Rattus norvegicus: one gene and its partners. The protein of the gene in region 1 purifies or fractionates together with the protein of each later gene. This does not show direct contact. Links are inferred from orthologs where the notes say so. Each region holds a gene or a part of one and is shown on either strand. Other genes may lie near its edges.

Region 1 (4,219 bases):
CAAATCAAGGAAACAAAATGCTTTAATGCTTTACCAGCCTAAATCAACATATGAAACAAACAATAGCAACAACAAAAATACACACGTATAAGTTAGACTTAATTAAAATGTAAGCTTCCATATTTCAAGGAACACATGAAGAGAATGAGAGTGAGGTTGGAGATAGCCCAGTAAGTGAAGTGCTTGCTGAATGGGTGTGAGAACTTGAGTTCAGATCCTAGAACACGTGTAAAGATCAGGTGGGCAGGAAGATTTCATGGCAATTACATTGAGTGTGTAGTAGGGACATTCTAACTAATAATTCTTCTGATCCACAAACATGGATGCTTTTGTTCATTAATTTTGTTTGCTCTTCAGTTGTTTTCTTCTTCAGATGTTCTAAACCATAGCTCAGTCTCTGACATTCAGTGTGTAGCCCAAGCCGGCCTTGAACTTTGGTATTGCTATTGCCTCGTTCCTAATGCTGGAGTTAGAGGGAGCATGAGCCATAAATGGCTAATATTTTAATGAACTCTGTGTGTGTGTGTGTGTGTGTGTGTGTGTGTGTGTGTGTGTGTGTAATTTTTTTAAATGGGGCTTCTCTATGTAGCCTAGGCTGTCCTGAAACTCCGAGATCCACCTGCCTCTGACTCCTATGTGTTGAAGTTGAAGGCTTGCACAATACAGGGCATGACAATTTTAGTTATTTTTATTTTTAAGACAGGACGTCACAGAGATCTGCCTGGCTATAATAGCAAATTTTTGCTAAGAACTGTGTATTTGTTCATAGTAATAAGTAGGTATACATAAAGTTTAGGCCAGTCTGGTTTTGTCTTTGGTAAGAATAGGCAAAGTATGTTTTAGAAGAACAACTCTGAGTGTTTGGCTTTGTTCGTGTGTTATTGTCGTACCCTTCACGTCTCAACATTACAGCTGACTTTGTACTCTGGAGGTTTTTTATTTGATTATTCTAATGTTGGAGATGTCGGCTCACCTATTAACTTTAGATTTGTTCTTGTTTGGACTTTGGTCTATAAAGAGAATTTACTATACAAGAAATTATGTATTGAGAAAATGAGTTCCTCAGAATCAGGTTTGACTGAAGTGGGGCGCTCTTAAGTCAGTGGGAACAAAGCATCGCCGTCTCTGAGGTGGGAGGGTCTGTAGTAACGGTTTTCTCATGTGCTTCTGCAGATGTTCGTCCTTCCATTCTTTGTTGCCTGCTTCTCCAGTGAAGTCATAAGTAGATATTGTGTGATAGTTACTTATCACCATGGTAACTAAAGGAGCAATGTGGTTCCTATTTCAGTTTAACTGTCAACTGTGCTCAAAGGAGAGGACAGCCTCTGGGACAGCACAGGCTCAATCATGAAAAACTATGTGTCAGGTACTAAAGGGCAGCATTCCACAGGGGCTTGCCTTTAGTAGTCTCTCCTCCACCTGTGTAGGGACCCATAGGAGAGGTCACTGTAGATCCGTGTGCGTGTGCGTGCGTGCGTGCGTGCGTGCGTGCGTGCGTGCGTGCGTGCGTGCGTGTGTGTGTGTGTGTGTGTGTTCACACATACTGTGCATGTGGAAGTCAAAGAACAGCTTGCAATAATTGATTCTCTCCTTCAACTGTGTGGATCCTGGTAATAGAGCGTGGTCCTGAGGCTTGGCAGCAAAACCATCGCTTACTACTGAACCGTTTTCATTTGATGGCTTGCTTTCTTGCTTACTGTTTATTTTTTGTTCTTAAATATAGTTAAAACAGTACACTGTAGCTGTCTTCAGACACACCAGAAGAGGGCACTGGATCCCATTACAGATGGTGTCAGCCATGTGGTTGCTGGGAATTGAATTCAGAACCTCTGGAAGAGCAGTCAGTGCTCTTAATAGGGGCTGAGCCATCTCTCCAGCCCCTATTTTTATTTTTAATGTGCATGTGCTTGTGTTTCTATATACCTGATGTCCCATGTGTGTGTAGAAACCTGGAGAGGCAGAAGAGGCATCAGATGCCCTGGAACTAGAACTATAGACGGTTGTAAGCCATCATGTGGGTGATGGGAACTGAACTAAACTACAGATGGTTGTAAGCCATCATGTGGGTGATGGGGACTTAGCCTGGGTCCTCCCCAAGTGCAGCCAGTGCTCTTAACCACTAATCATTTCTCCAACTTCTCTTGTTTTGTTTGTTTTTTTTGTTTTGTTTGGTTTTTTTAGGATTTATTTAGTTTTACTTTATGAGTGTACTGATGTGCCTGGTACATTCAGAGGTTAGAAAGTGGCATTGGATCCCATGCCATGGAGCTAGAGTTTACAGATAGTTGTCAGCCACCATATGGGTTCTGGGAATTGAACCTGGGTTCTTTGCAAGAGCAGCAAATGCTTTTAACCACTGAGCCATCTCCTCGGCAGCCCCTCCCCCCTCTCAAGATAATAATCTTCATGGACTTTGCTAAGTGAACTTCCAAAGCTCCTAGAGAGACTAACCAGAGACTCTTTTCTCCTTCTTCATCCCATTTCTTTTTTTTTTTTTTTTGGAGCTGGGGATCGAACCCAGGGCCTTGCGCTCGCTAGGCAAGCGCTCTACCACTGAGCTAAATCCCCAACCCCTTCATCCCATTTCTTTTCCGGCTGAGAAGGTGTTTGCCATCTTCCTACGTTTTCTCTTTATCTCTATTCTCATTTTGATCCTGTGTGGAAAGGAACTGCTGCGCTCACAACTCTTGACAATCTCTTCCCTTCTAGAGACCATGGCAAGCCCAGGGAAAGACAATTATCGAATGAAGAGCTATAAGAACAATGCCTTAAACCCTGAGGAAATGAGACGAAGAAGGGAGGAAGAGGGCATTCAGCTTCGGAAACAGAAGCGGGAGCAGCAAGTAAGTTACCTGAGTGTTCTCAGGAGGACCCATGGGGGCACTGGCCAGCTTCAGGGGTGACCCTTACCCTTCATCCTTCTGCCTGGGGCAGTGTGGCCCTCACCCTTCCTCAGCAATCTGCTTCTCTCTCTCTCTTTTTTTTTTTCCCGGAGCTGGGGACCGAACCCAGGGCCTTGCGCTCGCTAGGCAAGCGCTCTACCGCTGAGCTAAATCCCCAACCCCGGCTCTTACCCTTCCTAATGCTGTGACCCTGTAATACAGTTCCTCATGTTGTGGTGACCCCAACCATAAAAGTATTTCATTGCTACTTCGTAACTTATGAATCATACTGTAAATATCTGTATTTTCTGATGGTCTTAGGCAACCCCTACCCACAAAGGGATCTCAACCCATAGGTTGAGAAATGCCGGCATAAGGAAATATAGTTTATCTAGGTAGCAGGCTAGTCATCTAATTTGCTTCCTTGTTTGTTTTGTAAGTGGGTACACATGTGTGCAAACTGTATATGTGTGTATGTCTGTCCAGACATTGATACTACAGTCTTTCCCAGTTGCTGTCCGTCTTAACTTCCATCACTGAACCTGGAACCCACTGATTGGCTTGACTGGCCAGTGTCCTCTAGAATTCTGCCTCCTAAATGCTGGGATTATAACTGTGAACTGCTACACCTAACTTCCATATTGGGGATCTGAACTCTGGTCTTCATGCTTGCTTCACAAGCATTTTACTCATTAATCCATGTCCCCAGCCTTCCGGGTTCTGCTTCTAAAGAAATGTTGGAAACTTTGAGAAAGGAAAAACAATTTCTTAATTCTTTTCTAAAAATTAAACCAAGTGTCATTTTTATTCATATTGGGGTTGTAACTTTCTGTTCCCTATGGTTTTCCTTGCTTGGTTGTTTGAGACGCATATGTGCTTGTGCATGGCATGGCATGCAAGTGGAAGTCAGAGGACAGCCTCCGAGTGTCAGTCCTCACTGTGAACCGTGGCTGAGCCTGGGTCTCCTGGGTCTGTCTGTGCTGCATGTGCCAGCCCGTCTCCCTCCAATCTGCCCGTCGTAGCACTGGGACGATAGTATAAGTACTAGGGACTGAGACTCAGCTTCCCATGGTGGTTCAGCAGGTGCTTTAGCCACTGAGTTTTTGTTCATCCTTTAACTTAAATTTGGGGCTGGAGAGATGACTGAGCTGTTCATGGTGCTTACTGCTCTTGGAGAGGACCCAGGTTTGGGTTTTAGCACCTACAGAGTGGTTTACAGCCATGCATCACTCTAGTTCTAAGAGATGCACTGTTCTGGCCTCCAGGGGCTCCTGTGTGCGTGTGCTGTACCTGAACTCACTCAAGCACAGATGTACATACGTGTATTTTTTTTTTTC
Region 2 (3,650 bases), on another chromosome or scaffold:
ATGTAAGCTTATGTGCCAGGAAAATGTCTGATATCTTTGGGGTTATGTATATGTCTACCACCACCACCGCATACAGGGCCTCTGTAACCCTAGATGTTCCGGAACTCACTGTAGACCGGGCTAGCCTTGAACACGGAGATGTACCTGCTTCTGCCTCCTGAGTGCTGAGTAGTGCTAGGAATGATTTAGAGGCGTGCATTCAGCTCTTTTTGTTTTTTGTTTTCCCTCCTTTTTTTTTTTTCTTCCGGAGCTGGGGACCGAACCCAGGGCCTTGCGCTTGCTAGGCAAGCACTCTACCACTGAGCTAAATCCCCAACCCCGCATTCAGGTCTTAAAAGGTATTTTAACTGATATTTTGCAAGGTTTTTTTTTTTTTTTTAAGTTTTTGTTTTTTGTATCCAACTACTTCACAAATGGCTTTATTAATTTTTTTTTAGAATTATTTATTTTATGTATGTAAGTACACTGTTGCTGTCTTCAGACACACCAGAAGAGGGCATTAGATCCCATTAGAAATGGTTGTGAGCCACCATATGGTTGCTGGGATTTGAACTCAGAATCTCTGGAAGAGCAGTCAGTGCTCTTAACCACTGAGCCATCTCTCCAGGCCCCTCTAACTGTATTTTTTTCAATCTTGAATGTCTGGTCAAAAGGATGTCTAACTTGAGTTTGTACTTACTTGGTGTCTACGGTGTCTTTTTCTCCTTTCAGATCACAATTGAAGCAATGAAAAGTGACATTGATGAGGTAGCTCTCCAAGGGATAGAGTTCTGGTCCAATGTCTGTGATGAGGAAATGGATTTGGCCATTGAGGCTTCAGAGGTGAGCCTGGGGTGCGCCTCTCTGAGAAGAGCTGCTGTTGTGTCTGGACTTTACACATTTACTTTGTGGGGATCACTCTTCTGGAGGGGTTCTGTTCTGACCGTCTGACATAGTGTGTTTTCTGTTAACCAGATGCCCTCAGTAATAAGACAGCACACACTTTTGTCTGTTGCAGGTATTCATACTAATAGTTCTGCTGTGAACACAAGGGGGCAGCAGGTTGTCAGCATAGTGAAGTAGCAGCTGACTGGGGTGGGGGGGTGGGATGACGACGACGACTTGTTTTCCTGTTTGAAATCTCAGTACAGGACCAAGATGTGTTATTGACAACTTACTAGCTCTGGAGAAGGAGTCAGATAGGGGGAAAGGCTATCTTAGAACCTTGAGCAGCCTCATCTTTGTGTAAGTTTTGAGCCAAAAGATATATCATACTCGGTTGATTTTAATATACATTTCCTGTGTGTTCGGAGACTACAGAACAACTTCAGGTGCTCCTCTCTCCACCTTGGATTATGTTGCTCTAGTTATCCTAGAACGCATATATACCTCTGCCTGCCAAGTTTAAAGGCATGCACCACAATTTTGGCAGTACGCACTTTTCTTATGTGAGATCTGGAGAGGAAACTTGCCAAACATTTTACTAAACTGGGTTATCTTTCTAGCACTAGATGTCAAATTATTATTTTTTTTCAATGTATTCAGGGATGACCCTGAATTTCTGATTCTTTCTCAAATCTCCCAAGTGTGGATCCTCTCCCACTGATTCATATAGTGTTGGATTAAACCACAGGCTTTGCATATGCAAGATAAGCACTGAAGCAGCTGAGCCTCATCCTCAATCCAGGAATGTAATACACATGGATATAATGCATAGGTCTGCATGTAATATGCTATATAATACTCACTGAAGTTAACGTATAGGCAGCAGCTCCAAAATAGCACAGTGAATATTACCATTACCTTACAGACCTGTTACAGTTCTCACTGTGGGGCTGTAGCATTCATAAGAGCTTATTTACGTTGGGGATTTAGCTCAGTGGTAGAGCGCTTGCCTAGGAAGTGCAAGTCCCTGGGTTCGGTCCCCAGCTCCAAAAAAAAAGAACCAAAAAAAAAAAAAAGAGCTTATTTACTTTGTGTTTCTCCTTAGGCAGCAGAACAAGGACGGCCCCCGGAGCACACCAGCAAATTTTACGCCAAGGGAGCGCTGCAGTACCTGGTGCCCATCCTCACACAGACACTAACTAAACAGGTGAGCCTCTTGGCCGGTTGGTTCCCCGTGGAACAGCTTCCATGGAGGACATCAGCAGCCATCTGATGCTGTGAGTGACTCGAGTACCTTGCTTGAGCCAATGAGTTGTGCCTCAGTATCTTAGACATTTTGGTTATGAACAATCCTCACACTGTTCTAATCTCCTGACTGCTGTGGCATTCATACTCATGGGACATGTGTTTTGTGTAAAAGTTCCAATAAAGATAGATGGTGGGCAGTAGTGCAGCTCAGTAGTAGGAAGCTTGCCTGGCATGTACATGACCCTGTCACCCTCTGCCTCCAAGAGAAGGGAATGAGTAGAATTGTTACGCTACGCATAGGGCCCTTAAATGTCTGGTTTTGTATTTTCGGTATTTTCATGAAGTCATTGGATTTATGTAGTTTTAAGAACGGATGAAGTTGGACACAAATCATTCACATTCAAATAAAGCACTCCTAACCCATGAGAAATACTGTTAGGGGCTGGGAATTTTAGCTCAGTGATAGAGTCCTTGCCCATCATGTATGAAGTCCTATTTAAAATGAGGTATGTGGTGTGTGTATGTGATCCCAACACTCAGTCAGGAACTGGAGGTAGGAGGATTAGAAATTCAAATTTAGGGGTTGGGGATTTGGCTCAGTGGTAGAGCGCTTGCCTAGGAAGCGCAAGGCCCTGGGTTTGGTCCCCAGCCCCGGAAAAAAAGAAAAAAAGAAATTCAAATTTACTTGGCTACCTAGTGAGATCTTCTGTCAAAAGAGCCCCTGACTCTAATCCAAAGTCTTTAATGTTAGTTATTATTTATTACAATGGCTAAGTGTGGCTCAGGGGTTAAGAGTGAGTACTGGTCTTGGCAAAGACCCATTTTCCTTCCAAGTAGGTACACCTGCCAGCTCTAGGGAGACCTGTGCTTCTGGCCTGCCTCCACAGGCACATACATGCACTCGTATGTATCCACACTCATTTACATTCGTTCATATCTATAAACTAGAGTAAGGTGTTATTTTGGTCTGTTTTTTAAGACAGAATTTCTCTGAGTAGCCTTTATTTTCCTGGAACTCGTTCTGTAGACCAGATTGTCCTTGAATCACATCTCTCTGCCTCCCGAGTTCTGGGATTAATGGCACGTACCACCACTGCCTAAATTTTAAAGGTTCATTACAAAATCAAAATCAAAGCTGTCTTGAAGATCTAAGTGATGGGTGCATACTACATTCTTAGGTTTTTGTTTTAAGTTTTTCAACAGTGTTTGCCTTTGGAGCTCTGACTATCCTGGAACTTCACTCTGTAGACAAGGCTGGCCTGGCCTCTGCCTCCCAAGTCCTGGGACTATAGGGCCAGCCAGAAGGTCTCATGTGAGCCCTGAATTTTTCCTCTGCTCTCTTCACTTTATTCATCACACTGTTTCTTGGTACCATGTTTATGTACTATTACTAAGGATCTGGCGATGTCTCAGGTAACACTGCTAGGACTCTTTTTTTTTTTTTTAATTAATTTTTATTTATATGAGTAAAGTGTAGCTATCATCAGACATAGCAGAAGAGGGCACCAGATCCCATTACAGATGGTTGTGAGCCACCA
Region 3 (3,650 bases), on another chromosome or scaffold:
TTGAAAGAATGGCTCTCAAACTCTTCATGTATTTTTGAAGATGAACAGGGTCATTTTAAGGGACACAATGGATAGTGCTCATTGCCAGAGATAAAATTTGACTTTCAAAAAAATAAAATCACAATTCTGTGAAAAAAAAAATTGTATCAACCACCTTTGTGACTGGATATAATATTAAGAAAATGTGATTTCTTGATGTCAGTCCTAAGAGAACTTCAGTAAACAGTACTTTCCAGGTATGCTGAAACCATTATGAAAATATACGACAGACCAATGGGTCAAAGTAAGGGGATAAGCAGGCTTCAGATCCCACACCTAACTCCCCTTACAGAACAGCGTGCACATGACTTCTCACCCAAGATGAAGCCACAATTATCTGAAAAGGATAACACCACCTTTCATTTACGACCACTTATTCACCAAAATAACCAAATGACCTGGCAAATGTAGAGACAGTTCTCAAAGTTAACTTGCCAGAATTCCCATTAAACTTTATTTGTATGAATTTAAAAAGTCACAGCCTCAATTTCTAACATGTTCAAGAATCAACAGCTTCAGCCACACACATAAAATGAACAATTCTCCAATAATTGTTTTAGTATACATGGCTCATCAAACAGCAAAAATGAAGGAAACTACTCATTTGGACAGTGCTCCAAAACTACTTTTGGAGGCAATGCTGTTGTACATACTGTGATCCATCAAACAGAAAGAATATGGTACCTGATAGAAATAATAATGGTAATAATATGTCCTTCCTTTTGAGGAGGTCAAGGTAACATTAACTGTATTACAAAACCATCAGAAAAGGCTTAACTCGTTTTTCAACACCTATCAGATCCATGGTCTCAGAGAGAAGGTGCCTTCAGAGAGCAGCATCATATTGGCAAGGAGGTCCCTTTAATTCCCCATTCACCTAACTGACAAAAACAATTCTGACCTTCGAGACCTGCGTGTTCAGTTGTTCAGCTATCATCACGGTCACCGTAACTGCGCATGTGTGTGTGAACAAGGGAAAGAGAGTGCACAGCAAGCACTTGCCCCTCCTCCTTCATGTGGACTCTGGGGATTGAACTTAGGTGGTCAGACCCCCACGGCAAGTGCTTTACCTAGCAAGCCATTACACTGGCCCCCCAAACAGCTCTTCCCCTTGTATCTGCCTTACCAGCGCACACTAGCCTGCTAATTCTCCCCTTCCTCCACTTGAGCAAATCTCCACCTTTTCCACATCCCAGGTCCAAAACAGTGATGTCACGGTTTTTTCTTTGTCGTACCTTTTCTAAAATTTCCCCTAGAAGAGAGAAATCAATTATAACACATTTTATTACAGCAACTTCTTTTTTTTTTTCTTTTCTTTTTTTCGGAGCTGGGGACCGAACCCAGGGCCTTGCGCTTGCTAGGCAAGTGCTCTACCGCTGAGCTAAATCCCCAGCCCCCAGCAACTTCTTTAAAACCTACTTCGTCTGACAAATCATATGGACTGTACCACAGTAATGTATAGTTAACATTAGGTTGGTATCCCAAACTGTAAGAGAGGAAGTAACTTGCTCCTTTATTCCTAACCCTAAAGAGTATGCGTGTTGTTTTAAAAGGCTTCGATTATCTCTTGAAAAACACTTTTGAAATGTGAATTGTTAAGCAGGTGATATTTAAGCTTAATTAAACAAGAAAAGTTGTAACATCTGTGGAAAGAGAAGCACTAAGTTGCATTTTCTACACTTCCCATGATGTGTACGTGTGACCCTCTTGAACTGAAGTAGCCATGGAATGGTAACTACAGCTGATTCTTACTCTTTACACTCATAAGAGTGTCAAAAAACTCAACCTTTCACCTCATAAACAAGCAGATATTCAAATAGTTGAAAAGGCTTATTAACAGTATCTGACATGAGGTATTCAGCAGTCCTAGAACTTAATACAATAATGAACCTTAGTATTTCCCCTAATTTATTACTGTTTGCTACTTTATAATTTGTATGGATACTATTAAATATTCACTCCCAACATTTCTGCCTTTCAGTATAGATATGAAAGTAGTGTTCCTAAGAAGCATAAGTGCCCCATATTTTAGTCCTGTCATGAATCTTAACACTTATTCACCAAAACAATAAAATGATGGGTGAAATGCAGAAGCATCCATCAAAGTCAATTTATCAACTTGTCAGAATCCCACTAACCTGTACTTTTGTGAATTAAAATCAGACAAAAAGGAAAAAAAAAAAAACTTCATTATAAAAAAAAAATCTTAAAATTTCTCCAAACTTACAAATCTGATATAACCAGACAGAGAAAGCAATACTTACATTCTAAGTCTTATTTTCTTTACTCACTTCCATTTTAATTTTAAAGGTAAGTGTCCATAGAGAAAATATTACTTCCAAAACTATGTCTTTATCAGTCCTCAAGGTAAACATTTTCCTCAAGAAACCATGTAAGACAGAGAAGCTCTGTAACGGACAGTGACCCAGTACGGACACACACTGTCCTTTCCTTGGCATAATAAACTCAATGTTCAATCCAACATGCACTTCACTTATTAGTTCCTTGAGGAACATTAACTAGGACCATAAAGGACACTGCCAAGTGGAAGCCTGTTTAGCTTAATGTCAACCAAACATTATGAATGTCCCATATAATGAACTAAAAACGAATAGTAAAATAATTTCTCCCAAGGGCCTACCTCTGGCTCTCTAGCTTTAGAAACCAAAGTGTAGCCAGCCACAAAGGAAAGAGTAAATGATGGTCTTCAAAGCTCGATTTCTGATTAACCCTGGGAGGGAAGGCCCAGAGCAGAGAGCCGGCTGTGGAGACAGCTCAGCTGCACAGCACTTTCAGTGTGCATGGCCCTGGGCTCTGTGAAAAGCAATGCACCTCAGGGAAATTTAAATCTCCCAACTAAAGGGCAAAAACAGATCATACCAATAAGAATACTTTTAATCCAATTATTAAAGTTTCTTAGGTAGAAAATGCGACTTTGACTCCGCTTCACCAAGCCGACTTCCTGAAGCTCGTTATAGTGGGCGGCCACGGCTGAGCTGTGTCCTTCCTCCAGCTTCTGAAACTGAAAGGAACAGAATGTAAGATTCGAGTACAATATGGAAAAGGAGAGGTCTCAGATCGCCTGACTTACCCTACAGACCAAGCACGCGCAGCTCAAGCGTGCTCTACAAAGCAATGGCTGGACCCACAGAAATAATGCCAATTACCACCACCCCTAAGAGGGATCGCCCTGATTCTTCGTAAGAAGAATCCCCAGTTTAAGGTCTTCTCTGTGGCCCTCACCTATATAATTTACGACTAAATGTTTTAAGAAAACTACTGTGCTTCAGAATTTTGATTTATTCAACTTAATAAACCAGTCAATGGATGAATTCCTAGAAAGGAGTAAATGAAATAAGCTATTAGTAGGGAATTATTGTTATGATTACATGAGGCATATATATATATATATGGGTTAGCATTTAGCACGTTACACTCAATAACAATGACTTTTATTATGAAACAATTTTCAAACAAATCTGCATTTATAAAAATTCCATAGTAGGTAAAGGCCTTCAGCCTCTGCCATTTTTCCAAAGCATTTAATTCTTTATTTTACATATCAAATTTAAGGGTCAAATTTTACCTGGGGGGGGGAAAATCTTCCAGTG

The links.
Region 2: the proteins of Kpna6 (region 1) and Kpnb1 purify together in Homo sapiens (affinity purification with mass spectrometry; 4 studies listed by BioGRID and IntAct, with this or other methods). This does not show direct contact. The link is inferred for Rattus norvegicus from reciprocal best matches to the Homo sapiens genes KPNA6 and KPNB1.
Region 3: the proteins of Kpna6 (region 1) and Rnmt purify together in Homo sapiens (co-immunoprecipitation; 3 studies listed by BioGRID and IntAct, counting the BioPlex papers as one, with this or other methods). This does not show direct contact. The link is inferred for Rattus norvegicus from reciprocal best matches to the Homo sapiens genes KPNA6 and RNMT.

The regions. Positions count from the first base shown.
Region 1 is NC_086023.1:147,287,858-147,292,076, reverse strand, and holds the start of Kpna6 (importin subunit alpha-7), read left to right. Parts: upstream 1-1,319; 5' UTR 1,320-1,347; coding exon 1,348-1,366; intron 1,367-2,709; coding exon 2,710-2,843; intron 2,844-4,219. UniProt on the Homo sapiens protein: Functions in nuclear protein import as an adapter protein for nuclear receptor KPNB1. Binds specifically and directly to substrates containing either a simple or bipartite NLS motif.
Region 2 is NC_086028.1:82,657,275-82,660,924, reverse strand, and holds part of Kpnb1 (importin subunit beta-1), read left to right. Parts: intron 1-711; coding exon 712-822; intron 823-1,969; coding exon 1,970-2,071; intron 2,072-3,650.
Region 3 is NC_086036.1:64,162,523-64,166,172, reverse strand, and holds part of Rnmt (mRNA cap guanine-N7 methyltransferase), read right to left. Parts: intron 3,062-3,650; coding exon 2,920-3,061; intron 1,292-2,919; coding exon 1,166-1,291; intron 1-1,165. UniProt on the Homo sapiens protein: Catalytic subunit of the mRNA-capping methyltransferase RNMT:RAMAC complex that methylates the N7 position of the added guanosine to the 5'-cap structure of mRNAs. Binds RNA containing 5'-terminal GpppC.